Styela clava: one gene and its partners. The protein of the gene in region 2 interacts with the protein of the main gene of each other region in a pairwise test. Links are inferred from orthologs where the notes say so. Each region holds a gene or a part of one and is shown on either strand. Other genes may lie near its edges.

Evidence for each region.
Region 1: the proteins of translationally-controlled tumor protein homolog (region 2) and Golgi phosphoprotein 3-like interact in binary tests that used the Drosophila melanogaster proteins (3 or more experiments, as listed by UniProt). The link is inferred for Styela clava from reciprocal best matches to the Drosophila melanogaster genes Tctp and sau.
Region 3: the proteins of translationally-controlled tumor protein homolog (region 2) and GTP-binding protein Rheb-like interact in binary tests that used the Drosophila melanogaster proteins (3 or more experiments, as listed by UniProt). The link is inferred for Styela clava from reciprocal best matches to the Drosophila melanogaster genes Tctp and Rheb.

What each region holds. Positions count from the first base shown.
Region 1 is NC_135252.1:1,474,200-1,484,984, reverse strand, and holds the start of Golgi phosphoprotein 3-like, read left to right. Parts: upstream 1-6,425; 5' UTR 6,426-6,558; coding exon 6,559-6,662; intron 6,663-7,363; coding exon 7,364-7,574; intron 7,575-7,786; coding exon 7,787-7,879; intron 7,880-8,773; coding exon 8,774-9,024; intron 9,025-10,785. UniProt on the Drosophila melanogaster protein: Phosphatidylinositol-4-phosphate-binding protein that links Golgi membranes to the cytoskeleton and may participate in the tensile force required for vesicle budding from the Golgi.
Region 2 is NC_135256.1:19,373,362-19,385,077, reverse strand, and holds the start of translationally-controlled tumor protein homolog, read left to right. Parts: upstream 1-6,794; 5' UTR 6,795-6,923; coding exon 6,924-6,951; intron 6,952-7,755; exon of another isoform or gene 7,756-7,952; coding exon of another isoform or gene 7,953-8,218; intron 8,219-8,297; coding exon of another isoform or gene 8,298-8,394; exon of another isoform or gene 8,395-8,866; intron 8,867-11,716. Other genes in the region: uncharacterized protein LOC120343863, read right to left, coding at 1-1,318; uncharacterized protein LOC120327874, read right to left, coding at 7,953-8,218, 8,298-8,394. UniProt on the Drosophila melanogaster protein: Involved in calcium binding and microtubule stabilization.
Region 3 is NC_135252.1:17,678,737-17,690,376, reverse strand, and holds GTP-binding protein Rheb-like, read left to right. Parts: upstream 1-6,125; 5' UTR 6,126-6,397; coding exon 6,398-6,449; intron 6,450-6,779; coding exon 6,780-6,851; intron 6,852-7,277; coding exon 7,278-7,345; intron 7,346-7,865; coding exon 7,866-7,948; intron 7,949-8,281; coding exon 8,282-8,338; intron 8,339-8,592; coding exon 8,593-8,722; intron 8,723-9,369; coding exon 9,370-9,462; 3' UTR 9,463-10,232; downstream 10,233-11,640. Other genes in the region: peroxisomal carnitine O-octanoyltransferase-like, read left to right, coding at 1,635-1,804, 2,450-2,547, 2,881-2,957, 3,283-3,404, 3,717-3,821, 4,561-4,755. UniProt on the Drosophila melanogaster protein: Binds GTP and exhibits intrinsic GTPase activity. Activates the protein kinase activity of TORC1, and thereby plays a role in the regulation of apoptosis. Stimulates the phosphorylation of S6K through activation of TORC1 signaling.

The DNA of each region.
Region 1 (10,785 bases), on a different chromosome or scaffold from region 2:
TAGAAACATATCAGCATATCGTCACTGAAATCGAAACACTGTCAATTGTGAGCGGGATTTATCTTTTTATCCATTACCATACTTTAAATTGTCAGATTGTCGTATTATACTGTTATACAAGGTTGGGAACGCGACTTTTTCCCAGGTTGTGATGATATATAAGATAATTAATCTAAAGTATATTCAATCAATTTTTATTGTATTAAAATTATTTTACTCAGTGAGATTTTACAGCAGATTCACTGATTTCTCGATTGGTTTTACTGTTTTAGCTTAAAAATAATCGGATGGCAGCATTGCGATTAAGCGGAGTCAGTGTTGTATGTATGTATGTTTATTCGTCTCGTAATAGTGATACATAAATAAATGAACAATTATTATTATTTAAGACGGGATGCACGCACAAGACCTGGCTGGCCTAAAACACAAATGTGCGGCATGCACCTCTTTTGACAAATATGAAACAAAAAACATTAGATTAGATATGTATAATATGCTCCCTTATATAGACAGTTGTGCAAGGTGGGGCAATGGGTGGGTTGGTGTGGTGAAAGTGGTAAGGGTGGAGTATACAAACTGTATATACAGGGGGGCAATTCCATGGAAATGGGGACAAATTAGAAAAAAATAAAAGTGATCAATCCTGCATAAACAACCAAAATTTTCATAGAATATATCTTGGAGTTTTGTGAACGCAATTTATAACAAACCTACAGGGACAAATAAAAATGTGACAGTCATGGAGAGTTGGTGATGCATTGACCCCAAATTTCGCCATCATAAGTCATTGAAACAATCTTGGGGTTTTAGCCTTAATGACGTATCATGAAAAACCATAAATTATTTGATATGTTGGAGTGGCATAACCATTCCCAAAAAATAATTCAATTTTGTATAATACTATTTCTTGGCATCATTAGCCGCAATCTACTGGTAACAATTTAAATGTAGCGAAAGTACATTTTTTTGGGCATTTTTTTATTTATCTGAAAAAAAATACTGTAATTCTTTTTTTTTAGCAATACACCATCTTCCTGTAGATAGCTACACATACAATATGTGCACATTTTTATTTCTCATGGTTGTATAAAGTTTTCAATATTCAATGTCATATTGTGTAACGCAAGTACCAATGTAACGTAAGTAACGAAACAAGAGAAATGAAAATTTAATAAATCAAAAAGGTTTTAATAATAAAAGATATATGTTTTGGATATTTAGTTTTTATTCTTCCCTGGGAGTTTATAAGACAAGACAATATATATAAATAGAGACAACACAACATCAAATATACATATATTCATAACAATGAAATCAAAATTTAGGCGCAAATACAGCACCTTTGAGTGGTAATATAATAATATGCTTGTATGTATGGATATGCTCGTATCAAATAGGCCTGTATTGGTCATGGATTGATTGCTTCGCACAACAGAAAAGTCATTATTCGTTGAAAAAGTCAGCTCTTTTAACAAGTGGCGTAATCGCGGCGACTTTTCCACGTGAATTCCGAGGCGATAAATATGTATTTTTGATTTACTGATATACTTGTATTTTATTTGATAGACAGGTATTTTCATTGTTTGAAATAAAATTGTACTCTACGGACTTTATATCAGTTATTGAGATTTTTCTAACGGCTATAACGAGTTCGCCGCAAGATTGCAAAAATACGTATCAAAATTAAATGCATTAGGCAGTTTCACATATTTTTATATCCAGAGATCGCCGTGGTATTTTACGTGAGTGATGTTTTTATTTTGATATGAGAAGACGCAACCGTTACGTTGGACTCAACTAAATTATTATATTAGGACATTTTAGAACATCGTAGTTATTATAAATTGAATATTTTATGCAACAGAAAAACCATTATACGCTGAAAGGGCGACTCTTTTAACGAGCGCGCAATCGCGGTGACCGTGACAGACGGCAATGGAAGGAATTTCCGATTTTCAACCCCCCTCCCCCTTTTTGAAAATCCTGGCTGCGCACCTGACTGATACCTACCTTTTTAGTCAATTAAAACTGATACCTGTGATACCTTTTTTAGTCGGGGCCCCTGGTACGGTACAGAACCGGTAGTCCGGTATGTTAATAAATTACCGAGTTAGACGAATGCTGGGATGTCACATTGCTCATCGAAAGAGAGACGTTGTATAATAAAATCGAGATCTGTTTGTGATTTATCTTCAATAAGAGAAAATCCGAAAATGATATGGTAACTTACCGCTAGCGACCGAGCCTCGCACGATGTTGATAAACGTATTCCAGTTTATTACATCCAGCCTTCTGATTTCATACCGGTACCGGTCGGTACCAAATTTTCGATAGTCAGTACCTGCCGTGACGCACATGCATTTAAAAAATTAGAACCCATACTCCAATATCTCAATCTTACTACAGTACCGTACCATACTGCCATATGCTCAACTTATCCATTTAATAAATCTGCTTATGTCTGTATGTACCTCCAGACTTCTATGCTAAACTTGATTCCGTGGCAGGTGAACGCAACACGCCTGAGTAGACTTGTGCTCTCAAAAATGCATGTGAGCAAAAATCAATTGAAGGGGAGAAAATTCGGAAAATGTGTCAATCCTAATAACCCCCACCTGACTAAGCCACGCCAAATGCTGGTTACCAACTAAATGGCCTGTCTTGAAAAGCAAGCGCAAAAACTACTTCGCCTGTATAAAACTGTTTATCACAGTTTGTTTGTTACGATTATTTAACCTATGCGAAATTCGCAACATCGCCATCTTGCGTGACAGGACTGTGCTTCAAAGCACCAGTTGGCATGTTCCGTTTAAATAATTTAAAAATTATTTGTCCAAATTTATATCAAATGGGGCCATTCTGTCAGTTGCACGCTAACAATCTACAAACAATCTTGGTAAGTTTGCACACAGGCTCAGGGGTTTGGCATGTCACACTTTGCACGCTGAGATTTTTGGATTTATTTCAGGATCTATACGAGTTGTGTACTAAAGTTGTTCATCCAGTTTACAAGCAACTTCGTTCCCATAGCTACAAAAACCGTAACTACTGAACTTGCTAACTCTGAAATGTTCACTCAAAGTCAGTTCTGTAGTTAGTTGCATTATACACTCCAAATACTGAAATACAACCACTGCTGCACTGACAGTTTGACTTTTCAGGGCTCTGAATCTACTGTATCAAGACTAGCAAAATGATGTCATACATAGACACACATGGCATGGAAGAATTTGACCTATCTAAAGAGAATACGATCAATGATATATTATATTTCTAACTAGATTCAATACAATTAAACCATCATGATAAAGTTGCTAGACACTTAGAAATCGTTTCTTTTTTGTGAGTTATAGTAATCGCAAAAATATCGATAATAAATGCAACCAGTGATAAAAATCTAATTCAAAAATCCCCACATTCCAATCATGTATTATGTTTTAGCCTATTATCCCTTATGGTTTTTTGTTTGTTTTCGACAACTTTCCAAAGGAAAGTACTCAGCTATTTGGATTAAATATTATTAATCTATTGCTTGCTATCATTTTTATGTTTTTTTCTTGAAATTTGGGTTTCTGGAAACTTGGGTAGCACATCACCCGTCTATATTTTTTCAATATTAATTATGTTAGGTTATTAAAGTCAATGATCTGGAATTTGTCGTAACGCAACATAGGTAAACCACCCTATGCTATGCCTGAGAGCTTGGGCCAACACTGCTGTTCTCATTTTATAAACATTAAATTATGAAATTGTTGAATAAGGTACCGGTGGCGGTAATTGTGATTGAAAAATAATAGCTTAGTGGCGATATTGACTAGATTAACTAAACATAGCCTACTTTGTCAGATTTGTCCTAAACGTATTGCAAGTTTAGCATGCAAAAATCAAATAGCAATTCAGGATAACATATTTCGGGAAAACCAACAGGAAAGACCTCTGATGTTATTTTCAATACACCAGGAAACAGCATATTATGCTGATTCAGTTAATGGAGAAAATTACCAATTTATTGCAAAGAATTTTTTGTTTTAATTGATGAAAAAACGTTTTCAATGATGAAAAAAGATTTGGGTTTATTTTGAAATATTGTAATTCCATAAGAATAATTGAATCAAAGTAACTATTTGTTGTGGATATTGCAATAAGTCAATATCAAGTGAAATTCTAATTGCAACTCTATATGCCACGTGTATTTATTTGAAGTTTCTGGCTCATTTGATACTTTTTTGAATAAAAATTACAACCAGTTGGTTTGAAGATCATATATAAAAAATTCTACGAGGTTCGAAAGCATAGAGATAATGTAAAATCATCAATTTGAAGCAATAAAACTAGCCAACTATGACTGAAATCCTGGAGTAGAAGTCCTGGAGTGTTATTTCCAATAATACATTTTAACATTATTGTCTTAATTTCTAATCGAAGTACAAGGTATGATTAAATATATACCAGTATAATCAACTGAATAACCTGCAGAATTTAGGCAAGAATATTTATATATTCTCTTCTTGTCATTAGGATCATAAACTACGAATTTCAAATTCATTCACTTAAAACAGATGCAGAGGTAAAATCAGAGATATGGATTAAGGTTGCTTTTAATAGTTACGGTAATCATGACATATTTCAAGCTATAAGTGGTTTAAAACAGTGTGGTTTCTGAAAATTGGAATATTTTTACAGTCATATATGATTTAACTTGCCTTGAGAAAGTATAGTGAACATTTTATGTATGTTTGACCAAAATAATTTTATGCCTATGGCATTGGTTCTCAAAATTTGCTATGTACGCCCCGAAAATTAACAGAATTGTGTTGTTATAGCTACAGTACTATATGGTTGAATATTTTACATATCGTTTTATTATAATGTTTTATTGTTTCCTATTTTAAATGCTGTGTATATAAATCAGTGAATTCATTTTTACCTTTCTATGTTGTTTACTTTCTGTTAGGTAGTGTCTGCCTCTATTGTTATGTAACAATGGAGATAATCCTAGTTGCTGCTATTTCATGAGCTGCAGTTTATTTATCTTCTGAGTTTAGCAAACATGTTTTTAGTATTCCGAAGGAAATGAAAATAAAAGACATCCCCCCAAAATAAGCCCTAGTGTTATTTTTCGAAAGAAAATTCAAATAAAACCCTGCCTTATTTTCAGGGAAACACGGTATAATAAAGTACTAGACATAGGGCTTTGTTCTGCAATTGAGTTGACAATTTGTTAGTTTGCAGACACAGTGTAGGATACACATGCCGCAAACCATTATCCATATTGTCAGTTTGTCTGGTTAAGATGACACAGTATCAATGTCATTATTTCATTACCAAGTTAATTCTGTTAGTTCTGTTTTATTTTAATCTATAAAGAAGATGTTTTGTAGGGCTCAGACTCTTCAGTTTGGAACAATTCCTCATTCTTGGTTTTTCAACTTATTTGGTAATATTTTATAGAAGTGCCTGAGGCAAAGGAACATATCTGTTCTTATAACATGAACTATCATCACTTGTGACACATCTTTCCCCTCAGGCAAAATCTGGTATTTCTAGTTGACAAATTTTAAGATGAAGACTGTAATTGCACTACTTGACTATGCCATGAAATTATTGAGCTTTTAAATGACTTATAGTATGTATTAGGCTTCAGTTAGAGTAAAATATTAGAGTTATTTATATCATATATATAACAATATAATAGTTGTCAGTTCATCCATGGTTACACTGTGTCGTATCGCAGGGAATATCATTATCGTAATCAGTGAGATTGTATTTGAGAATAATGATTCTTATATTATCTTAGCCATAGCATATTTTCATAACACCTCAATGTGAAAAGGTTTCTTCCATCAATGAATACTACACAGTTATGAAATACTGGTGCATTAAAAAAAGTTTTGAGGTTTTCAAATTAATAATGTTCGAGAAACAATATAACTCATTACCAGTAGTATGTCCTTGGTCAGATTAACTGCGAAATTACATTTCCATGTTCCAAACAGTATGTACCGTAAGTTTCTTATTTCAGAAGCAACCTAGTCAAAGGTCTAAAGGTGTTTCACAAAGTTGTGGTAAAAATTACAGTAACTCAAATAATCTTTGTAGTTGATTTGTAGTAATATAAATTGTAGACTTACTATTTCTTCTCTATTGCTTTTCAATTGGTGTATTATAGCAAATATGAATATTTTTTATTTAGTCTTATTAAGCCGTGCTTAAATGCTGCACATATTCACAAATTATGATTTTTAATTGTTGTGGCCAATGTCAGGCCTCATCAGGCAATTTACAGCATTGATCGAACACATTTTTTTGTGTGTAAATTGTTATGGTGGTTATGATTAGTTCTTATTAAACAGTAGAATGAGTTTATTCCTGTTTTACAACTTTAGTCTCCTTAGACCAATTTTATGCAATTGTTTTTGACATGCCAATTTCATTTACAGCTGATGACTTATATAATATAGGTTATGTGATACACCTGCAAAAACATACAGTCTGTAATTTTTTATTGCTTACTTGAGGTTTAGGAAATTTGAAGTTGTAATACACAAGATTATCATCATGTCTTCTGGGCTCATTCAACGGAAGACAGAAGCTACTATGGCTGCAGCCCAGATGAAAAAGAAAGAAAGTCGTAGTGATGACGAGAAAAGTGATGATGATAGGTTTGTAGTTCATTTTTATGTCTAGTTCATTTTGCCTACGTTATATCTATTGCATCAGAAATGCTCTAGCCAAGAATTTCTCAAAATTATCCCTCCACATATAGGAGGGCACAGAGCGGCATTGTGGAGGTCAAGAACAGATATTCACTAGGTCACCGTTCATGATAACTGCATTAATTTAGAGTAAACTGAGAACGATTTTTTTGTTTATTTCACCGTAATGCATTCTTTTGCTTTCATTTGTTGGCTTTTTTTGTGTTAAATTAAAATAGCTGATGGCAATAATAATTTCTAAATTATTCTTTGCATTTTCCTGCTGTTCATCAATTGAGTTGTTGATTTTCTTTTGAATTAAACACCATGGGAGATATATTTGCGGTAGACAAAGTGTTTTTTATTATTTTTCAAGTAAATATACGTCAGAAACTCAGAATGGTGTGTAAAATCGGTTAATCATAACCAGCCCTACTGATCAGCCATACAATCAATAGTAAGCATGTTCTTGTCGCTTATTAACACATTGCACCGATCGTGGATACTTATTAATTGTAAACAATAGCTACAACCTACTGTGCATTTTTATTTCATGTTCATTGTTCTTTATTTGAATGGTGTTGTATTTCAATTTTAACATAGAGACCTCAGACACCCATCGCTAGTTATTCTGTGTTTTTACTGACTGTGTGCATACTCTATTTCAGAATGTCTGATAGTGGGGACAAGTCTATGCGATTAACTTTAATGGAAGAAGTTCTTCTGATGGGTTTGAAAGATCGTGAAGGTTACACATCATTTTGGAATGATTGCATATCATCAGGATTAAGAGGTTGCATTCTGGTTGAACTTGCTTTGCGTGGAAGGATTCAGCTTGAAAGGCAACAAGCAAGGAAAAGAAAATTGTTGGATAGGAAGGTTCAGAAACATCTCTTCACCAATCTTTAGAAGTTTTATTTTTAATTACTCATTTTGAACAGATTTTATAGTAGTCATAGCAAGCAAGCCTGAAGTTGTACCACTTATTTAGGGAATTGAGGTTTAGGTATTAGAGTTGTTAGACTAAATTTTCTTTATATTGTTTTTTTACTTACCGTACACATTTTTTTACGCAAAACTCTGAATTCCAGGTACGATGTAAAAATGACGCACCTACTGGGGATGTTATCTTAGATGAAGCTTTGACACATATTAAGAAAGGAGAAACAGAAGAATCAGTTCAGGTATACATTGTTCTTTGGTCTAATAATATTTGAAAATATTTTACATCAGGATGCAAATTACTGGGCGGGCAACATTTGCGCAGGTGCTATTTTGAATTAAATTTCCTTCCGTTGGATATCCAATATATAGATGTCAAGCGGAATAAATACTAGAAATTAGAATACTCACAATTCCTTGATTTCACCTGAAATGTTCAAAAAATGTAATTGCTCCGATGAAAAACTTCCAGTTATACTAACTTTCATTTTTTTCCTGAAACAACAACTCCCAACAACGAAAAGAAGAGAATTCCTTCTTCGAATGGTCCGATGTGTATATAATGAACTTTGTATGACACCAGTCTATGAAGGAGCCCAGAGGATTTGTGTCTGCTTTATTCCAATATAGTGACATAGAAAATATCTCTATCAAGCATATTGTTGGCTAAATCAAACCACCCATTCCTAGTCGAAGAGGTGAACTAATATTCGAACTGAATGCCCGTTTATGGTAACCATTATTGAGTTCAATCGTTCCAAATTTGATGTGGTGCCAAATTATTTAATTTCAAGGTTTTTTTATACAGTTTTTTTTAAATATTATCCTAAAAAATTTGAGTATACTGAGTTACAAAAGAAAAGCCTTTTATGACTACTTGAATAAGATTCAAACTGTTTAAACCACAAGAAAGTACAGAGTTAGAATGTTACAAATGAAACCATAATTTCATAGAGAATTAATTTTACATCGCTTCTAACGTCAAAAACTACTCAAATAACCAGACCCCCTTATTGAAAACATATAGCACCAACTGCACAATATACACTTTTCATTTCGGTGATGAGTGGGTATTTGATAATGAAGATTATCAGATTCAATCTTGTAACTTTGTTCCGATGATTAATATTTTGCAGGGATGGATAGATCTGCTGTCTGGAGAAACGTGGAATCCTTTAAAATTGCAATATCAATTACGAAATGTACGGGAACGCCTTGCCAAGAACCTTGTTGAGAAAGGAGTTCTAACAACTTCAAAACAGAATTTTGTTTTATTCGACATGACCACACATCCTGTTGTCAATGATGATGTAAAAGCAAGCCTTCTAAAAAGAGTTCAAGATGCTGTTTTAACTAAATGGCCAAATGATGTTGAAAAGATGGATCGGTCAGTTTCTCATACTATAGTAACTTCTTTTTTACAGTGTAAAACATATGAAACCTCAAGTGATGCATTACTTTAGTTATATTTGAAAAATCAATCATGCTCACTCCTTTTTGCTTTCCTGCTAATCAGTGATTTGTGTTGTTGAACTTTGTGCCAATATTACTGGTTGGGTGAAACTCTGGCGGTTTACATGATTTGTAACTGTATGTGGGTGGGAAGCCCACATAAATAACAAATTCCTCTATTTTATTTTCGCGAAACCTGGTTTTGTTCGGCGCATCGTGCACTTGATTACTGTACTCTGCGTGCTTTCGTAGGTTTGAATCACGTGGGCAATTATCACACACGAAAGAATTGCTGCCGTAAGGCACGGTAGTTTGCTTACCTTATTGGTCGACAAAATACGGCCGGACGCTCCATTAAATGGACCTTTCCCCGACCTTCAACCCCGGAAAATTCTTTCTATGCTTTACCATTTTAAAATTTTCGGTGCTTATTTTAAGAGTGGTTTCGCGAGTTGTCGCCTGTAAAATGGGGTATTTCAAACTATCATTCGAATACATACCATTCAACAATCTATTTTTTTAAATTACCGGTAAAGAATTTTAGCCTAGTCTATCACAGCTATTTTCACTTTAATTTTTGATTACTACAATTAAACTGAAACTCCTAGGAAGACAAAGTGATCATTGAATTATTTGATTTTTATTTAAATTTCCGAAACACAACTAAAAACAAACGAATCTAATTCAAAAACAGAGAAATTGAGGTAATGTTTACGACCACGCCTGAAAATCTGTCTGAGCGAAAAAAGCGTCTGAGCGGATGCAAAAGGGGGCATTGTTACGTTTATTTTTGCATCTTGCTGATTGACCAATGTCACGAAGTAAACAAGAAAGTCTATGCCCGGGGAAAATCCAATACGCAGACAAAACGACGTTTTGACAATGAATTGATTTTATTTATAATCTACGCTCAAGAGTAAATTACATTTTTTACGTAACAGAATTTATCGTGAGACACGTTTAGACTAAATTATAGCATATCCTAACAATTTAGTGAACAGCTACTCGTTTAATGAGCCTATAATTTAATTATAATTAGGCAAATGACAACACACAGAAAAGTTGATGCTGAGTGCAGGGGTTCAATATCGCAGTAAATATTCAAATATATTGCGATGCAATGAGGAAATAAAATTCATATTATATTCGAGAGAATCATCACTGCCTAATTTTTGTAAAAATGTATCTTTCTAAGGAAAATTTTTATCAAAATTTTAAAAACCATGCGAAAATATTGTGCGAACAATTATTTTCGAAAATGAACATTACAAAGAACAAGCAAAGAACTAGGATTAGTCATGCCCATTTAGAAATTGTTCCTTGGCGTCGTAAGGCTATTAAGCGTGATGCAGCAACAAGACAGTGTCACATCAAATGCCATTGTAATAATTTTTTTAATAAGACGACTGAGTTGAGTTCATGAATTGTCGCAGTTTTTGCGCGCTGTTCCGTTTTTAACTTTCAAAAAATATATGCGACCCGCAAAAGACTATCAACCCCTAATTTTGTCCCGCGAGCGACATAAAATTTGCCGACCCCTGGGCCGTAGCCGATAGTCAATCACGGCTTTTGCCACATCCGAGTCCAGGAATCTAAACGAATGGCTGATTAATTCTATAACCTGGAGGCCATGGTACGATGAGGAATCGATGATGAATTTTACCGAAAATCTTTATATATAATGTATTTTGGTACA
Region 2 (11,716 bases):
CACATTTATATATGGAGTGATAGTCTTTACAAAACAAGCATTCTGGAAGAGTAGAGCTGGGAACGGCATCAGATGCTTCAAGTTGATCGTCAACGGATGACGAAACTGCAGTGTAAATTGCATCCCTTGTTCGATTCTTAGCAATTTTATCAGATACCCGAGCAGCATTTTTCATGTAAGACGCTACACAACAGTCAGATGTAATCCGAGCTACTCTGCAAGCAAAGTCTACCAAAGTAGCAAACGTTGACCTTTTTGAAGAAGCTAAGAGCTCCGCAAAATACATTCGTTGAAGATCTTCTGGCAAACGTGCAAAAATTCTAGTTAGAAATTCACTTAAATCCATTGCATTTGGCTTTTTCCATGCCTTTAAAACTGCAAGGCATGTTTTCAATTCAGAAGCATATTCCCGCAATGCAGACAGATCATTCATCTTTAGTACACGGCCCTCAGTTAAACTCTTACGATAAGCTTCAATAACTTGATCGTGGCGACCAAATTCCTCTTTTAGGCCATTCAAAGCAGAATAATATGCAGTTTCGATATCTTCCTCATAGGTAAAACGCTTAATAACCCTTTTAGCGTCACCAATGCATGCAAGTTCTAATTGTTGAAATTTAGTGCGAAAATCGTATGCCTGGCCTTCTATCAAATTTTCGAAAGATTTCATGAATGAAAAATAGTTCAAAGGGTCACCATCAAATGATAATGGTTTAGCACGAGGAAGTGAAAAGCCTTGCTGCATCGCTTGAGTCAATTTGTATAGATGTTCAGAGAATTGCGTTTCAGCCTTACTCTTTGAATTGTCAACATTTTTGCATGGACTAACCGTTTGATTGGGTCTAGAAACATTTCCCAGAAAATGAACTTTTTCCTGAACTGACATTTCAGGTGATGTAGAATTGAATTCGTCAGGAAACCTATTCTTACATATTCTCCTTTTGACATTTGAGGAACCAACAGCCACAGGCCTCTGAGCATCTCCCAGAGCTGTATTGGCCAAGTCAACAGACTTCCAACCATCACTAGATTCCACATCAGCCATAAGAGCAGCTTCCTTACAATCTTGTTCAAGCCGAAATCTTTGCAATTCAGCAGCTTTTCTTCTCTCTGCTTCTAACAGCTCAGATTTTAGTTTCTCTTCCTGATCAAATTGCTCCAACTTGAGTTGAGCCATCTTTAGATTGTATTCTGCACGCACAGACTCATTAGAAATAACAGAATGAGCTGAACCAGTTGAGCCTGCATCGTCATGCTTAGCAACTGGTGTTCCAGAGGAGATCACATGTTGCATTTGCGGTGCAGAATCTTCAGCCATTGTTATATACGATATAGTTTTAAATTCTTTAGTTAAACTTGTACCTCGTTGTTAATTTAATGTTCAGGACAGTGATCATTTAGAACTATCCCACGCCAGACCCCTTGAGATGCCAGCGTTTTCTATTGATAATTTAAGATTTGATGTTGCCTAATTCTCTGGTTTGCCAGTTTGCTGGTTGAAATGCGTCTACCTTGAACTGAAAAACTGACAGCGATGACCCAATCCAGTGAAACACACAGAACACCAAGTTGTAGAAACGAAAACCAATGCAGCAATGTAATTTTCTTTGTAAAGATTGAAGATGGCAAACAACAATGCAAAATTGAGATATCAGTTACCGGTATTATAGCAAACGATTAACAACGTTCAGCGTACATAGCACAACAAAATCTGCAACAATATAAAATCATACATCTATATAAAGTTTGTCTGATGAAACCCATATAGGCCAGAAACCCACAAAATTTAGCATTACTAACCCTAAACTGAGATAAGCACACTTCACATCGAAAATCCTAGAAAGCAGCTGAGCAAAGCCCCGGATGTAGGACCATCCAAGACCAAAATCAGTATGCCAAAATCAGTAGACCGTAAAAAAATGCGATATTAGGCTAGCGTGAACAACAAGCACTAAATCAGGGGTCGGGTACCTTTTTGGTCAAGAGAGCCATAAAATATACATATTTTCAATTTCATTTCCGTGCGAGCCATATAACATTTCTTCACTTAATCAGGCCTGAAATGTTTACTCAAAAGTCAACACATACAATGTCAATATACATTTAATGTGATTTCTGATGCTGCATGTAATCGCTGCGGGCCTTGAACGGTTGCTCACACGCAGCCCAAGTTGAAATCTACGATACTCATCACCCTTTTTCGTATAGGCATCTCCGTAGTGTTTTTAAAACTCTATCGCTTTGTGATGTCACAATATATGTTCCAGAATCCCCTTGTTTGTCACAATGCCTGTCTGGTGATTATCTTACATAACATGGCCATGTGCTGGGCGCGCGTTCTCAAACGTTTTGGGAATTTCCTGCCAAAATTGGCTATAAAAGAGTTTGAAATCTCTCTCAAAAAATTTCCGAGTTTTGCGTAGCAAGAATTTAAAGAATCAAACCGGACAGCCAGTGTTCCCATGGATTAAATAGTGCAACGAATTTTGGACGAAATATCAGATTTCATACGAAATTTAGGAATAAATAAAAGTAATAGCCTTTTTAGCAAAAAATATAATCTTTACTCACTGAAAATTTCAAAGAAAATGGTTCAGTAATCGATGAGAAAAGCGATTTTTTCATAACGATACCAAGAAAAATACAAATAAGAACAAGAGAGCAATGCTCAAATATATTGACACGCAGAACAATTCCCCAAAAATCATATGCGGTGACTTACCAGTACCTGTATAAACAAAGCACCACATCACAACAATCAAACAGACAAATCACTGTGGTCGCAAATTGGTTGACAAAGATATTATCGACGTATTGGAAATGCGCACCTCCCTATTTCCCCTCGTTCAAATCTAAAAACGCGAAACTTTCAAAGATAGTTAAAAGAAACACAACTCTACCCACCTGCCAAGTTTCATATTTTTATCTCTTATATTTGTATGGATTTTCAAGCTTTTGACTGCTACGAGTTAGTTCAGTGTCACAGCGCTGTGTTACGGTACCAGAACTTCTCTATCATTAAAAACATTGGGCTTCTAATTGCATTTCTGACCGTCATATATTTTAAGAACACGGTTAATTCGAACAAAACTCGCCAAATTATAAACAAAGCACCACATCACAGCAATCAAACAGACAAAAACACGGTGGTTGCAAATTGATTGACAAACATAATATCGACGTAGGCTATTGGAAATGCGCACCCCCCTATTCTCCTCCTACCTGTAATGCCAGACGCTTCTTTTTCGCAAAACTAAATTATTTGATTTATTACGGTATTATAACAGCAGATACCACAGTCTACAAATATATTCACACCAAGCGAAGCATTTCGACCAAAGTCTACAAATATATTCACACCAAGCGAAGCATTTCGACCAAAGTCTACAAATATATTCACACCAAGCGAAGCAGTACAGTACCTGTTTACTGTACCTTTAGACCACAGTCTACAAATATATTCACAACAAGTGAAGTATGGTTTACCGTACCTCTAGAGCAGGGGTCGGCAACCTTTTGTCGCTCGTGGGCCATATTTAGGGGTTGCAAGTCTTCGGCGGGCCGCACATATTTTATGAAAGTTGAAAACTTAACGGATGATACTTTTTATAATAAAAATCAAGCAGTGATACATCTCTCAGAATAGAGTATAGATTTTGTTTCCTCATTACATCTCAAAAATTCCATCTGAATATTTTCGGCGCTATCGAACCATTTGCACTTAGCATCAACTTTTCTGCGTTTTGCCCAATTATAATTAAATTATAGGCTTATTAAACGAGTAATTGTGAATTTTATACTTGTTAGATTAAAATATAATTTAGTCTACACGCGTCTCACAATGAATTGTGTAACGTGAAGAATATAATCGTCAAAATAGCTGTTTTGTTACTATAATTCAGTGAAGCGTCGCGGGCCGTAGGTTGCCGACCCCTGCTCTAATTTCTAGACCACAGTCACGTGATCAAAAAGAGGTGTGCCTGCATATGCGTCCGCAGAACGTTCAGTGACGCCATAGCAAACAAAAACAAATCTCACAGAGCTAACAGAAATATTGGAAATAAATAAAAGTAATAGCCTTCTGGAGAAAAATTTCAATTTTAACCACTAAAAATTTCAAAGCAATTGGTCCAGTGATCAAAGAGAAAAGCGGTTTTTTAATATTTCCACTAGGTGTTCAAAAAGTATCAAAGAACAACATAACAACAAAACGATCGTTATGTCCACTAAACGTGTCCAACATATGAACACTTTACGCTGAAATTCACTGTGGTACGGTACGGTAACTTATCAGCAGGCTTGACCACGGAACCTGTTCACGTGATCAATATGTGTTTGCGGAATCGCCACGTGGTGGCAAATTCTGATGACGTCATAGATCAGAATAAAAACGAATCGCATAAAGTTCAATGGAATATTAGAAATTAATAAAAGTAATAGTCTTCTAGAGAAAAATTTCATCTTTAACTACTAAAAATATCAAAGCAATTGGTCCAGTAATCAAAGAGAAAAATGTCTTTTTAAAAACGTATCAAAGAACATAAGAATAACAAGAGAGCTACGCCCAAATATATGAACACGTCTGTTCGCAGTACAGTACGGTTTACCGTACAGTCGATCAGCGTAAGGAAGAAATCGTAGCAAAGTAACGTAAGGACTTCGTTACGAACCATCGACGTTCGATGTCACGTGATCAAAAAGAAGAGGAGTGTCGGCTATGCGTCCGCCGAACGTTCAGTGACGTCATAGCAAACAAAAACAAATCTCACAGAGCTAACAGAAATATTTGAAATAAATAAAAGTAATAGCCTTCTGGAGAAAATTTCATCTTTAACCAGTAAAAATTCCGAAGCAATCGGTCCAGTAATGAAAGAGAAAAGCGGTTTTTAGATTTTCCACCAGATGTCCAAAAAGTGTCAAAGATAGCAAGGCAACAAGAACAACATAATATTGAAACGATCGTTATGTCCACTGACGTGGCCAACAAGAACAACAAGAGAGCCATGCTCGAATATATGAATGCGTAGCGCCGCATAGTGGCAAATTTTAAAGGGGTCATGGCACACAAAAAAGCGATAAATGAAAATAATAGCCTTCTAGCGAAAAATATAATCTTCACTCACTGAAAATTCAAAGCAATTGTTCCAGTAATCAAAGCGATTTTTTTCAAAACGATATGAAGAAGAAGAAGACAACAAGAACAAGAGAGCTATGCTCAAATATATGGACAGTTTGAATAAAACGAAATATATTATCAACACTTCACCGAAAACCATAAGATACCCTACGCCTTCGGTACGATAAACTGCACGAATCTGAACAGTGAAACAGGTACATGGCTATGGTAACTGACTTACTAGTACTTGGGTACAAATAACGGTACGGGGACTGTCATAACTCTTCCATGTCCTGTGGTAATGATTTATGTTGTTTACATCAGAACTGTAACGAAAAGAGAGAGCGTAATTCACAGACGTACCGTACGGTACCTTACCAGTACCTGTTGCCTGTAGGCTACTGTAGGCCTGCTATTCGATCGTGGAACGGTTCTTCTCTGGCATATAAAAAATCAATTCAATTTGCTCTTATCAAAATTAACATATACGGTAGGTTAAATTTGACAGAAAACCTACATTTGACATTACTGCAATAGTAAGATCGCGAAAGGAACAAGAGAGCTATGCTCAAATATATGGACACGTAGCGCCACCCAATGGCAATAATTTTGATGACGTCATAGCGAAAAAAAAAGTAATAGCCTTCTGGAGAAAAATTTTATCTTCAACCACTGAAAATTTCAAAGCAATTGGTCCAGTATTCGAAGAGAAAAGCGACTTTTTAAAAACGTGTCAAAGAACAAGAACAACAACAAGGATAACAAGAACAACAACAACATAATATTGAAACGATCGTTATGTCCACTACGTGTCCAATAAGTCAATTTCACTGTGATACGGTAACTGAGCAGTACCGTACCTGCAAGCTCGATCACGCAACCGCCTGAAATAAGTTTAAAACAGTGTTCCCATGAGTAAATTTTAGGACAGCGAAATTTTGAATGAAATATCAGATCTGATAGGATTCGTAAGAAATTTAGGAATAAATAAATGTAATAGCCTTCTGAAAAAAAAAATCGAAAAAAAAAACTTTAACTACTGAAAATTTCGAAGCAATTGGTCCAGTATTCGAAGAAAAAAGCGATTTTATATTAATGATGGTGACGAAGAAAAATAAGAAAAGTAACAACAACATAATATTGAAATGATCGTTATGTCCACTAAAGTGTCCAACAAGAGAGTAATGCTCAAATATATGGGCACGCAGAACAAATCCCCAAAAATCATATGCGGTAACTTACCAGTACCTGTATCGGGTTACCGTGACGGTACAGGGACTGTCATAGATATTTTGGATCCTGTGACAATGATCCATTATTCTTGATTTTATTGAAACATCAATTGAAATATCTTGTGATATGAGACAATTATGTACCGTATTGCCGGATCAGGTACCAAACCAGAGTCAAACATTTCACATAAAAACGTTACTAAATAACATGCGTCAACTTAACACCAGCTGAATCGGGGTACAAATGTCGGTACAGTGACTGTCATCGACAATTCGACTACACGTGTTCAATTCAACTACCACACACGTGTCCAACAATGATGCAAAACGATTATTATGTTCACTAACGTGTCCAATAAACGAAGAAATCAACTGTCGATGAAACCACGCAAAACAACGAAAACAATTCAGTGTTTGCATTTTATGCGTACACTTTGTCTTTTATGCGCATGGGATATAACAGCATAATTTGTGTTTGACGTTTCACCGATCCTTTTCAACCGAGCTCTCCCTCGATTGCTTATATTTCTTTGTTCGTTGGATTTTGTTATTTTAATCGGAATTAATCATTCGGGATGTATGTTTTTAAGGATATACTTACTGGTAAGTTGAGGATTTTTTTTCTTCACTTTCTATTAAATATTTAATTATACCGTTATGACTAGACTTACCATAATTTCCCGAACGTAATCCGGGACAAACTCAAAACTATGAATGAAATTACTGGGCGAAAGGCCGAAGGCCTGAGCTTGGCAAATTTTTATTCCATATTTATATTTATAAGCTTTAATATTGCCTAATGAAGTATTTTATCACTTTATTTAAAGGAAACTAAACTACTTCCAGACTTCAGTTAGCGCTTACCGTAAAACCGGCTAACTTCGGATGATTTCACTATATTTTGAACAATATCTCCGCCGCATGTTGTTCAACTGAAGCCAAATTTGGAATATAATACATTGTGGCTATTCTCGTCTTGATAAAGTCGGTTCCATATCCATCAAAGCCTTTTTTCATTGAAATTATTGTCTTTATTCGTCTATTCTAAAATTATCTAACTTCGGATGGCCACTTTTCTCTTTGCGTCAACTCGTCGTGAGAGAGAAATGTCTGCGTAAGCAATGACGCGTGACAACGTCGCTGAATAGACCTTACGCCGCCACGACCTGTCTTGCGTGTTGAATACTGACGTTTGTACGTGACGTTACTACGTGACGTTACTCTTGCCGCTTCGCGAAGCTTAACTATTTATTCTTGTGTCCTTTATTATAACTCGTATATATTTCACTAACTACTCCTAATTTATTGCAAAATGCTAGTTCGTTCTTTTATGATCGTTTATTTTCAATGCAAGAAAAGGATTAACAAAAAAAAAAACGGAAGAATTGAAAGTACCTAACACTGGTGTAGGTTGAAATTGAAATGCAATATGGAACAAGTAAAGAATGAACAAAAATTAGACAATTAAAAATAAACGGATGAATCGAATGAAACACTGGCAAAAGTAAAAATTGAAATCAAAAAGCAATATGGAACAAGTAAGGTATGAACAAAAATTCGACAGTTAAAAATAAACAGATGAATTGAAGGAAACGCTGGCAAAATCAAGAATTGTAATCATTTCCACATGGGTTAGACGGGTCTTTGCAACAGTTCTTGTGGAACCAATGTGTTTCGCTGCAGCTTTCGCAACCGACCCATTCATCCTCAATTTCCGTACTTCCATTTGGATCATTCCATAATCCACAAGCAGAGCAGGTTTCGTCTTGATTATCACTTTTCATATTTTCTGATTGTCTCAGAGCTCCCCGTTGATCGGCTCGGCAGAGGTTCCTGCCCGGTGTGACTTTCGATCCTCGCTTTCGTTTCACTTAATAAAGTCAAATGACAATGAACGGATAAAAACGGCAAAAAGAAACTTTGCCACTTTTTTTCATTTTGCGCCTCACCTGTATGTGGTCCAACCTCCTGCTGTGTGCATGTATGTAGAGTTCTACGCTCACCTGTTAAAGATATTATTATCATCTGCCGATCATAAACAGACATATCTAATCATTATGATCGTATAGATACATGTTTCAGGCCTAACGTATTACCAATTGCTACGGTATCTATCGGTGTCGGAGGAAGTATGCAAAAACAAAAATCGACAAATTTCATATGCATTAAGCGTATGCATAGCCATATTTTTAAATAAACAACATATGACTGAGACGATAGTGATGTTTTTGTAGGATTTAGTGACTAGGATCATGGATAAGCATAATTTTTAAATTTCACAAAACTGGGCGCCGCGATGTCTGGCGTTCAAATGTCGCAGCGAGTAACGCACAAGCTACGCAAAGTGACGTCGGCTACGAAGAGAGAGAACGGGATTTGCGTCGTTGACGTCACGCTGTACGTAATCATCAAAACGTCGATATTTTGATGTAATTTTTAAATCAAAATAATCGATTTCACTCGAATCTCGTACGACACCTTGTGATCACTGTATTTTTTTGTATACATTGTGTACGCTCTCTAGCGCTTGGCGGTGATTTGACGAAGGTAGCGTCTGTAGAAGTCACGATTTGAGCCGCTCGAAAAAACGGTGTCATTTTTTTGGTAAAATATGATTTTTCGAATGATAAAAAATCAAATCGAGCGATTGGAGGCTACGGCAGATTCAGATATGTAAGGCCTTACTATAGAAACCGACAGAAGCGCAATACGACGAAATTTAGTTGAGATATGAATGATTGAAAATTTCATCCGAAGTTACAAGGCATCCGAAGTTAGCCGGTTTTACGGTATAGTCCATGTCAGTATGTGAAAAGAATCTATTCACCGTACTGTTAGCCTACTGTACTACTGTACTACATTACTCTACAGAATCTCAAGTTCTAGATTACTTGCAGCATAATATGACTTAAACAAAATCAAATGAAAGTTATTATGCCTTCTCCAACTCCAAGCATACCGGTACCCCAGTCTGGATTTCATGGCCTTTTTGAACGAGAAATCGGGCGTGCAATCAGAAATTCCCGCGTGCAAATAAGAATTCCTGGCGTGCAATTATAGCTCACGACGTGCAAAACAACTGCACTCGCGTGCAACTGACTTTGACATCAGATACCTTTTTTTTTTTTTTTTGCCAAATAAATTCCAATGCCAAACGGAATTTTCGTATATTAATTTTATTGTCGAATTAGTATAATTTGCACCCAATTAAAACAATTTCATAATTTCAAAACACATTGCCCACAAGTTCAATAATATATGTAACAATTAAAATATAAAACCATACCATTACCGGAGTTTTGTATCATATATAGTCCAATTTATATTCATTGAATATAGGTTAATCCATACCGGTACCATATTTGACATCAGATACCTCTCAATACATCCGCGTAAAATTACCGGTATCGGATAAAAAATACGTTGAATCAGAGAAAAAATGGACGTTTGACCTTTGACCCCAAACATTATTTCTACAGTTTGTCGCTAATTTTGATAGTGTTTGTGCGACTTTGGATACCGGTACTGTTCAGTACATCCGCGTAAAATTATTGGATAAAAAATACGTTGAACCAGAGCAAAATGGACATACTTTGTCATTAATTTTGGTAGTGTTTTTACGTAGAATTAATGGATAAAAAATACGTCAAATTAGAGCAAAATGGACGTTTGACCTTTGACCCCAAACATTATTTTCATACTTTGTCACTAATTTTGGGAGTGTTTGAGCAACTTTAGATACCGGTGTACTGTTCAGTACATTCGTGTAAAATTATTCTATGAAAAATACGCTGAATCAGAGCCGTACTTGGCCATTGGTGCAGAGGCGATCTTTTCGTCCATAACTATTCTCACGGGATTCCTATTTCCTATCATTCAACACGATATGGACCTTTCCCCGAGCATCGACTTCCTTGTTTACTTCGTGACATTGGCCAATCAGCAAGATGCAAAAAAGGACGTAACAATGAGAGGAATTTTTCGCGGGTCAAAGGTTGGGGAAAGGTCCATGGTCTTTTTGCTTCTCAGTATTTCGATCAGACCTAATCTTGCAGGCTGGTATTTGTCGACAATTGTGGAGTTATAATATTTTGGCATCTTTATATTACTGGATTATTGATTTTAAAACCATTTAAACCGATTTACATTGGTGAGCAGTTGCAAATTTTCGGCGTGCAAAATTGATTTCGCTCGCGTGCATTTTTGCGGAGCGCTAGCGCCCTCGGGCGTGCATCTGCCATGGAATCCAGTCTGGAGCATACCTAAAATGGCTTCTAATGCAGCAATTGCTGTAGTTTCATTGAAGTCAATAGAATAATGACGCAATAAACGTCACTCATTATTCCCTAACTAAAAGATTTCTCAAGCTATGTGCGATATTTGGGTCTCATGTACTTTCTTACCTAACATACTTCTAGTGGGCGTAGCATGACAATTTTTTAACGTATCAATCCTAACCCCCACCGGACTACACCATCCAAAAATTACGTCATTACGAGGTCACAGTGACGTAATAGAGCCCTTCAAACTATACGAACTGCCATCCAAGATGCGCAAACGAGCACATGAAATCGAACAGTTAGTTCTCTCGTTTTCTCGTCGCAACGATTCAAATAGGAGAGAGACCGATAACGTCAGTCAGTTCTTTATCGTCGGCGCCAATGCCATTCCGGTCGATCGTGCGTATATTTGGCAAGCTCTATGACGTGATTGTGATGTCGTAGTGATTTAATTTTTGGATGGCGTAATCATATGGGGGTTAGGATTGACATATCAAAAAATTGTCAAGCTACGCCCACTAGAAGTACGTTAGGTACGAAACTACATGAGACCCCGATATTTTACTCAACCTAATAAGCTAAAAAAATTAAGATATTAAAATAAGCCTCAAGTCAGCAAGTTAAAGCAAAGTTATGCCTTTTGGGACGGAATTATTTCATAATTTTGCATCAGGTTGGAGCTAATTTTGAAAATTTCACTAAAGTAAAATTCCAGGACATATTGCTAACCGGGACAGGACGCCGGGACAGACGTTCAAACCGGCACTGTCCCGGCCAAACCGGCACTGTCCCGGCCAAACCGGGACGTATGGTAGGTCTAGTTATGTCCCTTCACTTATGCCCGTGCAACTGTATGTATGTTTATTCGTCTCGTAAAAGCAATATAAAAGAATTAGTAATTATAAATACTTGAGACAGTATGTATGCACAAGACAATACTGGCCTAAAACTTGAATGTGCGGCATACACCCCTTTTGATATGTATAAATTATAATAAGGTAAATTAAATATGTATAATATGGTCCTTTTTAGTGACAGTTGTGCAAGGAGGGTGGGTGGGTGGGTGTGGTAGCAGAGGTTAGGGTGGA
Region 3 (11,640 bases), on a different chromosome or scaffold from region 2:
ATCGAGTATTTTAACTTAGTCGAGATGGTTTAGGCGTCCTCGGCAAATTGTGTCTTAATTAGTTGTTTTCATCCTCAGTTTCGATAGTGACCGAACATAACAGGAAATTTTTTCATTTCTTCTAATTTAGCGCGTATAAAATAGCTCTTAAATAGTATTTAATATCTATCGCGGATTTCGTCGGCATCCGGCATTGATAACAACATCAGTTCAGTTAAAGTTAGCGGTATTCATTTACAAACAAAAATACATAACAGCCGACATGAAATATTCAAATCAGCGCAGAATTCAATAATAAAACACGTTTTTTGGTCTTAATATGCACATAGAAAGAAGAAAGGACAGAGAAATAACGACTAAAAACTAAGAACGGTATGGTATGTTTGTGTACTTTTGTTTACCATCGTCATCATAATCGAATTAGTTAAACCCGATTCCCAAATTTCCGTCCGCCAATAATGGAGGATGAAGATGGAAAAACGTGTTTTACTTTTTGAGTCAGCGTTGATTTAAATTTTTCATGTTATGTGTTTTAATTTTTTGATTATAAACCAATACCTCCAACTTAAAATGAACGATATTGTTATCAACGACGTCAGGACTCGGGATAACGATAAAATCTCCGATAGAAACCAAATAATATATAGAAGCTATTTTATAGATTGCAAGAAATTAAAAAATTTGACTAAATTGAAATATACGATAACAAATGTAAAAAATTTTCAACCAAAAACGTCCTCGACGTCTTATAAGCATTTCAAGTCAGAGTTTATTGAAAACCTTTCACGACGACTGTTAGTTATTGCCGTGCCACACATGGCTGCTTTCGATTGCGATAAAAAATGAAATAATTGTGGAATGTTTTTAAATCAGAACGTGGACGGGGGCGGGGCGGTAGGATGTTTACGGCGTTTTCGGTTTTCGGCCTTTCATATGTAGAAAATCTTAGGTTATTCGAAGCAATATTTTTCCGAAAATAATTTTCGTATCCAGATTTTCAGAGTTTCTACTGCATTATTATAACATGAAGACGGGTGGCGTTACATTGCGTCAAGATGATAAAGCACAAGAGAGAGAGAGATAGCATTATGCTATTGTCGCTTTCAATTCGCATCGACAGCGCGCGATTTCTACTTTTTTGAGATAACATATCTCATTTTCGAATACAAACATATACGCGGGGTTAGCGATTATTACGTAACTATCAGCAAAAAGGTATGATTGAAGTCGGGCGGTGTTAAATTACGTCGAGGTGATAAAGCACTGGAAAAAAAGTAGTTTACACCGGATTGTTATGACCGTGGAACGACGTTGTTTTAACATAGAACAATAATAAAAAAAAAACGAAATTCAAACGGGGAGGACACGACCCCCCGTAACCCCCCAGCTGGTTGTGCCACTGATCAGATATAGTCGAGTATCTATCAGGTTTGCCACTATTATTTAACTTGCTACACTTAGAAGATTCTTTTGCTTTGTCAGTACCATGTTTGCTTTTATATATATTTATAACTCAAGATTAAGACAATAAAAGACAAACTATTTCACAGGGTTTCCATTCCGTTTGGTTGAGGTTCCGCTCTATCATAATAAAGCTGGAAACCGCTGATTTAGGATTATTTATTGCTTTCCAGATCAAACGCCAGTTGATTCTCCTGTTGAACTTACATTTGTTTTGGATGAAAAAATTAAAAGCTGGATAGCAGAGGCTACAACAACAGCTGAGAACCTCAATTCAAATTTTGATTGTTACTTTTTCAACTTTCATCAATTCGGAAAAAAAGCATTGAAAAAACTGAAACATGTAAGTACGGTACTTGCATGTGTATTCCATTGTAACACTAATTCCTATTTACAGGTGAATTATTGAATTTGGTTTACAACCATTTCTTGCCTTATTTTGAGAAAACCTTGCTAACTCAAATTTGGCTGATAGTTACGTAATATCATGCATTCACATTGGTAAATCTGCTACCACAAAGCGTTCATAGTTTTCAGAACTTTTATCTTGAAATTGATTGTGTTATATATCGCAAATATGTTCGTCTGTTTGTCAGCCTGTTACATAATAATTTGAATAGCCTACACTTAAGAGCAAACCTGCATGGGGTAATGCTACTATCCTACAAAACGGATTATTAGGAGGAGTGGCTAAGCGATAGTAATACGCTTGCCATCACATCTCTTATAACCTTGCATGGGTTTGCATCATGAGGGTAGATAATAATTTGCGAAGAAATTTCTCATTGTAGGGTGGTTAATGGTAACCGCTGGTCGGTTACGACTATCTCCACCATCAAATTCATCTGAAACAAATAACTGGTCAAATTTTTGATACCAGTCATGAACTGGTAACCAGACGGACGGCCATATCATAACGCGTCTTATCAGCTTCCCTCTGAAAATTGTTATCCTAAAAAACTAAAAAAATGTTGATTACTTTTTCCAGATTCATTCATGTGCATTTGCACAGATTTGCATTCAACTTGCTTTTATGAGAAAACATGGCCGTCCTGCTCCGACTTATGAGACTTCAACAACTCGAATGTAAGGATACTAATTTATATTGAGTGCTGAGCAGGTGCTTGGACACTTTTCAATTCATCCAGGGTGAAGAAGATTGCCGGACATCTCACCACTGTTGGGTGATCGGTTACGGCTTCCTCCACCATGTCGATACATCTGAAACAAATAACTTCCCATCTAATCCCATAAACGACACGAATTGGCAGCTGAACGAGAGGCTGTAATACACCTTAAGCCTCCTCATTGGCTTTCTTCTGTCTAGGAATAAATGAGAAAATCATTCCCTATCTCAAGTCCAATACTGATTCTAAATTCCACAACAAAAATATCAATAAACTACACTTTATTTTCCAGCTTTTATCGTGGAAGAACAGAGACCTTACGTACTTGTACCCATGAAGTTGTTGAATTTTGTGAAGCAATGATTTCTGGTTTGAACTTTTCGCTCTTTAATAATAAAGACGTATCGATAATATCAGTTATTTTACTGATATCGGTATAAGCTAAAAATAATATAATTTCTATACATGGAATGATCATGTGTGGAGCATTCCTGCCTCATCAATTTCTTCAGAGTTGGTGAGTGATGGCTCATAAAATGAATATACATATATGTATGTCACTATGTATATTAGCCGGCCTGACATAAGTTTTCTAATCAAACGTTTGCTATAAATTGCTTAATATAAATGCTGAGCATCTTTGCAAACATACAAAGTTAAAATGTAATTGACAATGCGTATTGTTTTCGGTCAGATCTTCCAAACAAGGAAGAATTGTTCATGAAGGCCTGTGATAAATATGTTTGGTTGATGGAGGAATGCAAAGCAGGAAGAGGATGTGATCGACATATGCTTGGTATCGCTGCGATAGCAAATGTAAGATGCTTTTTATATGAATAACTTTGATTAGTTTTTTTTTCAGATGAATATAGTGTAATGCAGTGGTTTTCAACCTTTTCAACAGTGTGGAACCCTAACAAAACATTTCGTTGGTGAGAGGAAGCCCCTGGGAAATGGTTTAAGTGTCTCTTATTCTCTTGAAATGCAGCAAGTTTACCAATATTGGTAGCCATAATTGGTGTTTGATGATATTCAGTCAATATATATATTAACATAGATTCTCGGATCTGAATGGAAACCCTGGGCTGCACTGCCTGAAAATCATGTTAGTTCATTTCAATTTTGCAGGAAAATGGTGAAAAGCTACCTAAAATATTTTCGGATGCTTCATTTGAAAAATCTGGAGGAAATGGAAACTTTGTTCTTTCAACAAGTTTTACAGGATACACCAATGTGAGTATCAGCACACAATTTTTTCTACGACAGATCCAAAAAAACAGAACACTTAAATTTATTAATAACTTCTACAAAAACGGAGAAAATTTATTTGACAAGCGAACTCTGTGTATGATTGTACCCAAAAGTTTCAGTAATCTACGACAGGGTTTCCCAAACTTTTTGAGCCGCAGACCCCTGTTTGTGAATCTTATTTTTGACGCACAACCGTCCTATGCCCTAATGATTCCTGTTCCTAACCAATGAGGAAGGATAATGTTTCATTTAGAACACAAACGACATTATTGTGATGGATGAAATTGCCTTTCACTGCACAATTTATCGATTATCGGAGCAATTTTATGAATGAAACTGCGGACCCCAGTTTGGGAAACCCTGATCTAGGACGTTTTGCACAAAAGTTGTGCTCTTCTATAATCCAAGATCTGTTTCTTTGTGTCGCCCTGTATTTGACAAACCCTATAGTCCAACTCAAGCAAATATGCCAAAGTATTGAGTAATGATATTGAAACACAGTAACCATTCATTTCAATGGCTCACAAGTGGTAGAATGACATGGTTTGCTGCCCAACAATTTTCAAAGGCCCCTTCCATGATAACCCTATTCAAATGTTGAATGTAATTTCAAACTTCTCACATTTTTTGCAAAGTTTGATCTACATTTTGATTTCTAATGACTGCTCTACTCTCAAATGGTAGTAAGTATGCTTTAAGCTTTCTATTACATTTTATGTAGGCTGCCGGAGGGGTTGTTCCAATGCGAGATGATGGATATGGAACATTCTATAAAATAAACAACAATTATATGACCTTTGTTGTCACGACGATGAGAACTGGACCAAAAACAGATGCAAAGGATATGGCACTGCAGATTGGAAAAGCTTTACAAGATGTCTTCGATTTGATGGTGAACAATTATTCACGTCTGTAATTTTCAAGTTTAATTATTTCAAAAATTTTTTAGTAACAAAACTCTATGCTGTTTATACTATGATATAGGTGCTTTAATTCTCTTTCTGTTGTACTTTTTTACAGTAACCGTGACCAGATTGTACCAATTTTCTTTGTTACATATATTAATCATACAATTTAATTGTTTTGAGTTGGTCAATGGCATTTTTGCTCTGAAATTGTCTTATTCATATATTCCTGGTCCATTATTCTGCTGATGTTTTTTCATTTATCCTTGAACCCCAATGATATTTATACACTTTCAATTATAAAGTACCTGGAAGGGATTTAGCATGATGGGGTTAGATGTCAAATTTTCTTTGTTTTATTTTACTCAAGTGATGTCAGTTACAGAGTGTAATCAGTAATATTTGATGAATACTGTATACCATCAGTGCCCCCCAAGTTGGCAAGATATTTTTTTATAAAATTAAGCAAATTGCTACAGTATTAAATACTTTAATATTATGTTCTAATTATTCCCAAAGTTATATTGGCTGAATTTATACGGTTTTAAAAATCAAATTTTCGATGAATATTTTTGTCTGTATATTAATATCATATCTATCATATTTTTCAATTCTCTAATTCTTTTTTATTATCCACTGTTCGATCTATGCATTGTAGCAAATGACCGTTTAATGGCAACTAATCCTCGTGAATGGTGAAATTATTATCATTGGCTGCTGTAATCATTATATATGCAATAATTGATTATAATATATTTGAGTGATGCTGTGTTGACTAAAGTGTAGAATGGAATCCTATGAACTATCAGGAATTTAAATGACTTTCTGACGAGGGTGTAGATGTAACTCTTTGACAGTTTGTGCCATACAATTCAATCAGACATAAATACAACTGGGGGGAATTTAAAATGGGAAAGGTGAAGTTGTTTTATTGGGCCGGTTTTGTTGTTGTGAAGTGATCACCTAAATATTTTTTTGTTTTCTAATTCGTGAGTATCGTCGAACATAACTCGTGTAAATCGGAGATATGCAAAGTAAATGTGAAATATGACGCTTAAGTACGCAACGAGTAGCGCCCGCGCATCATGGTTTCTGCCAATAGACTATTCATTCTTAGAGACTAATAATTAAGATACGCGTCTTTCCAAAACTGAGTGAGTGTTGAGGCCCTGGGCTTCAGCCTGACCGAGTGCAATGGTCAGTGGCCTTGAAGTTGGTGCCATCACAGGAAAGTACCGGTATACCGCGAGATATTGTGCGAATCACGGCTTCTTTGTAAAATGCCTAGTGAATTATCGGGGTGCAATTAGACATGATTGAAGACGCGCAGCGGAGGGTGAGGCACGATGGCGCACGAAATGTCGTAGTCTGCGCCATTATATTCTTCAAAAATATTTTATAAATCAGTGGAATGGGTACTGGTACCGGTAGCGTGTGCTATGACCAACCTAACAATGTTCAGTAGTTTATTCGCCGGTTACCGTATGCCATGATATTTGTGTATATACTCAGTCCACCACCGATAAGATCTGAGGAGTGAGGATTTGTTTTGGCTTCTTGTCTTGACATCTACTTGGGAACTTTTACGCATTTTTCTATTTTGGAGGAAAGATCGGGAGTATATAGACTATTGGACTACAGAAAAAAAGCAATATGGCACCTCCCAAGTCGCGAAAAATTGCTATAATGGGATACCGATCAGTGGGTAAGGCTGTGAGTTGGGTTTGCGTTAGACAGTTCTGCAGTTAAGGCTCTTTTTATTATTCCAATTTTCAGTTTGGCAATTGCCCTTCATCCGTACCGGTACCGGTACGCCTCTCTCTACTTTTTCAATATACAGATAAGTGAATTTAGTGTAAATTTCACAATCACTAAACTTTAAAATTAATAAACATAGGGAAAGCTTTTCAAAATAATCATTTCTTCATTCTTGTCATAAATTTTTCTCAAAATAACATGAGTTCCAAAGTTTTCTGCAAACATCTGTATATTCTGTACAATAAACTCATTGTAGTTTTTTCAATTTGTGTTACAGGGAAGTCGTCCATAACCATTCAGTTTGTTGAAAATCAATTTGTTGATTCTTATGATCCAACAATAGAAAATAGTAAGTTCTGAACTAAAGTTTATCATTTTTATTTATTGACTGGTTAGATTTCTTTGTTCCAACCATCAATAATACGCAGATACATTACTTTAAATATAGATGAGCACCATGCAACTATGCTATTCAATGCTGTATACCAAACTTCTGGATTTTTATATTCAAATAATTTCATAATTAAGTAGCCCATTTGACTTTGTGATCAACTATAATTTATGAATTTGAATTATCAAAATAGGAGCAAAATCATGATATTATGAAATATTTACATTGAGTACATTTTTAAACAACACTAATTCTTGTATGCTGTAGTTAATGTTTCCATTTCTAGATAGAATTAAGCCTGTTTTAATATTTTCAGAATAAAGCCTTTTCTATCTGGTTTGTGTATAAAATATTAAATTATTTTGTTAATTCATGTATTTGCAGCATTTACCAGATCACTGAAAGTAAATGGACAAGAATATCAGTTGCAAATTGTTGATACTGCTGGACACGTATGTTTGTCAGTTTATATTATTTAGATTGCTAGATTTACAGGATAGTTTAAAAGTGTACAGTGTTCCCTCTAAGGTGTGCGCGTGTGCACGCGCACACAGCTTTCAGAGGCTGCGCACACGCATAGATTTACTGCGCACAGACGTATTTCGATGTAATGTAACAATTTTCTCGGTTGGCAGGTTGAGAAAGTTTGTTGTTGGCCCACCCATTACCCGGTTAGAATGCCAAAATCTCTTCATTGGTTTTTTTCCAAAAAAGTGCGCACACATCAAAATTTCTGCGCACACATACTACAGAAATTAGAGGGAACATTGAAAGTGTAACACATGAATTACATATCTGCGATTTTGTTTTATTAGGGAAGGTTTGTAACTGAACTGCCCTGATCACAAATTGTTTTGCTCAAAGTCATTCTGCTCAACTAATAGTAGCACCCTACATATATTGAGATACTCAAATATTTTTTTCATTCGGTAATGTTTTTTTGTTTAAAATAATTTTTTCGTTTTTTTCCAGGATGAATACTCATTGTTTCCAGAAGCTTATACTCTTGATATCCATGGATATGTTTTAGTGTATTCTGTTAATTCAAATAAAAGGTGAATGTTAGTTATCGAAATAGCCAAGTATTGAAATATGTTCTTTGTACAGTGTTAATACTAGTACATTAGTTTTCAATCCATTATCAAAGTATGGACTGTAAGAACTATTACAAATTTTTTGAAATACCAATTATTGTGTTGACTTAGCTGTCTAAATTGAGTAAAGTTTGCTACTTAAAATGGAATTTTATTTTATCAATATGAAAATTCTATTATTATAGTACACCAGTATAGTAAGTACACCTGTTGTCATCATAAGCCTTACCTTTTGAATGTAATTTAAGGCACTACGTAACCTTTAAAAATATTTGACATGTTCTCCACATGAAGCTTCGAAGTTGTCAAAGTGATTCATGAGAAACTACTCGATATGGTCGGCACTGTTCAGTGAGTGTTTTGTTATTATTTTTTATAGGTTAACATGGCATAATAGAAAAAGCATATTTCAAAACGTCTATTTTTCTTTAGATTTTACAAGGAGATTGTTTTTTCGTTATTATTGTTTGTGGATGACCATCAACATCAATTCTTGTATTGTGTACAATTTGTACATTTATTTCATTTAAATAGTAATGAACCCAATATCTATGCAATTTGGGAGTTTCTCAAAACTGAAAATTTCCTCATTTTATTGTTCTCAGAGTTCCAATTTTACTTGTCGGAAACAAAACAGATTTACACAATGATAGAGTTATATCAACGGATGCCGGGAAGAAATTGTCTCAATCATGGGGCGCTCATTTCCTCGAATGCTCAGCTAAGCACAATATGGTATGTGTAACAATTGTTTAGATCAGGGGTGTGCAAACTGCGGCCCATGGGTCAAATGCGGCCCACGAGGAAAAAATGTGCGGCTCACACTGGGAAGTATTTTGGATGGTGTGCCTGCGAAACGAGTTTTGTAGTTTCGATAATCTGGCACATGCGAGCAATTCCAATCCCTTCGCGTCGCAAACCCTATACCTTGATTTACTAAATAGGCTGTTTCATTTTTCAATTATTTGCATTTTTTTTATTTTATCCGCGAAAAATTTATAGATTGATATTTTTTGTAGTACAGATAAAATCATTTATCAATATTTTGAATGGATTGCACAAAAGAAGCACTAATATTTCATTTCAGTTTACAAAGTAATGATATTTCAAAATATTTTGTTATACATGGTTTAAGACATTTAAAATTACTGATGTACAGTGAAAGTTGTAGATAAATCAAAAATGCATGCGCCTATGCATTAAATATTGAATAAATAAAGAAGTTTTATTCATAGCGATGGAATAATGAAGTGTTTTAAAATAGGCAGAGGAAGGAATATGACGACAAAGATTGGGAATGACTGACCTATACTGTAGTTTATTAGGTTTCTTGAATATTTTGCAAATCTCAAATTTCTTGCAATGTGTGTCATTTTCAACAGGATGTGCAACAGATATTTAAAGAAATAATATTGGAAATGGAAAGACAAGAAGGGAATATACCTGAAGAGAAGAAAAATTGTTCAATATCATGAACCAAACGCGATAGGAATAAACTGGGTCGTTATCTGACAGAGGGTGAATATCGCTCCGCTTGGAATCATATTTTTGTGGAGGGAGCTAATTCAATTCCATGCATGATTAAACATATGTAAAAATAATATTCTGGAGTGATGGTTGTTGAACCATGACTATTTATTCCATCTATTTTAAATATGATTGTATTGTTTTTATTTTAAATACAATTTTTTTTCTATTGATATAAAGTACCTTGAATGCTTAAACAGGTTTTCTAGACCTAACCTTATTTACTTGTGACCAATGGGATATTGTCTGTATCATGGTACGAGAAAACTTTCGATAATCTTGTCTAATTGTATGTTTGTAAGTATTCCTAAGAGTATATTGTGTAATATAAGAACAATGTGTAGAAATTAGATATGTTTCATTTTGAACGGCGGTGGCGTTATGTTTATTATTAAATGTAATACTTATATTCATATTCATTGTTCTTGTAGACTTTTTGGCCATGTTTGAAATTTTCATTGCAATTTTCTTTGATCGTTTTTTTCAAATTTTTGTTATCACGTGCACCTAATCCGATTTTGTACTGTACCTAACTATAAAGATGTTTCATAGTAAGTATGTTTGGCATTCCAGTTCTTGAAATTTGAAACTTGATGTCAGTCTTATTATTCTATTTCCATTTCTTTATTGTGCTATTCACTGCATGTGCTAGTTTTTCAGTGGTAACGCCTGCTTTTATTGTCCACTCGATTTCAAATATATTGGCATAAAGTTTTAATTTTATCTCCAATGTTCATTAGGGAGTGGTTAGTTTCAATAGCTGCGGTAATCAAACTGATGTTTATTATTGAACGTAAATCAGCTATACGAAGATAGCAAGCTATATTAAGCAATTTTCATTAAATCGTAATGATTTTGCATCATAATTCCAACTATAAAACATGAATACGAAGACGGGAAACAAAATCTTTTGACATTGGCGAACTTAAGTTATTAAGTAAACATGTATTTCGACGGGATCGGATCGCCACTTCCAATTGTCTTTAAAAGTGGTTGGATCAACTTGTTGCTCAACTGGGCAAGTGCAGTTTCAAGTATTTTGTGGCGTCTGGAGCTGCCGCAAAACCATGGCGGTATTTCCATACCATACCATTCAAGCCTATGGCGACTGACTTTTTGGCTGTCACAAACCAATGACGAGCTGACGTTACCGCGGCAGCAAATTGAAAACCAATGGCAGGTTAAATTTTGCTGCCGTAACTACGGCAGGTGGGCCGTAAAGACAGGGCTGTCCCTTATGGTGACAAATATTGGGCAAGTTGGAACTTTTTTCTTATAGATACAGTTTTGATGGAGTTAGGGTTTGAGTAGATATAATTCCGCATGTTGAATTGATATATGGTACATTAATTAGTGAATATACCGTTAATACTGAATAGCGCTATAAAACCATGGCAAGAGCTGCCGCGGTTCGTTCGTGGCAGGAGCTGCCATGAAGTGGTAAGAACTGCGCCTCCAACTGGGAGTGTTGTGAACTCTGGAATATCTTCAGCATTTATCGTCGGAATCTTGGCAAAAATTTGGAGTAATTTTTGATTTGTGAAACAAAAAGAATTTTTATCTTATTTAGCAAAAGTTTAGTAATTCAGTATTTACAGGGCGGGTCGAAAAAACTTAAATTGCATACTATAACTTAACGCTAGTTAAGTTCTGGCAACTTTCCTGTCATCTTTTTCATTTGATTTAAAAATAGTGAAACATGCTCAAATGTAGTGGTAGCTATTTTTTTATTTGGTATAACGCATTTTTTGGGGACTTATATATGTTTGATTATTGCTACCAAATTAACAGTCTGATAAAAGACGATGAAATGAACATGAAAATCGATGCTAGGGAAACACCTTATGTTTTATTATGCACCACATAGCATCGTTAAATATGATTTCTCGTCGCGGGTAGCCCAAGTGACTTTCTATGGTAGCTTTAAGCTGAGTTACCGGAATAGCATTTTTCCGTGGAAGTTCAGACTGATTTTAATTCAAGATAGATATATCAGAAATTGGGATCAGAAATTTCCATGCAACGACTCCTTAAACGATCTCCCCGTTCGTTGAAAATGTCGGCTTTTTCACGGTATAATAATTTTTTCTGTCTCGTAATATTCAATTTATGACAACTACAAGAAT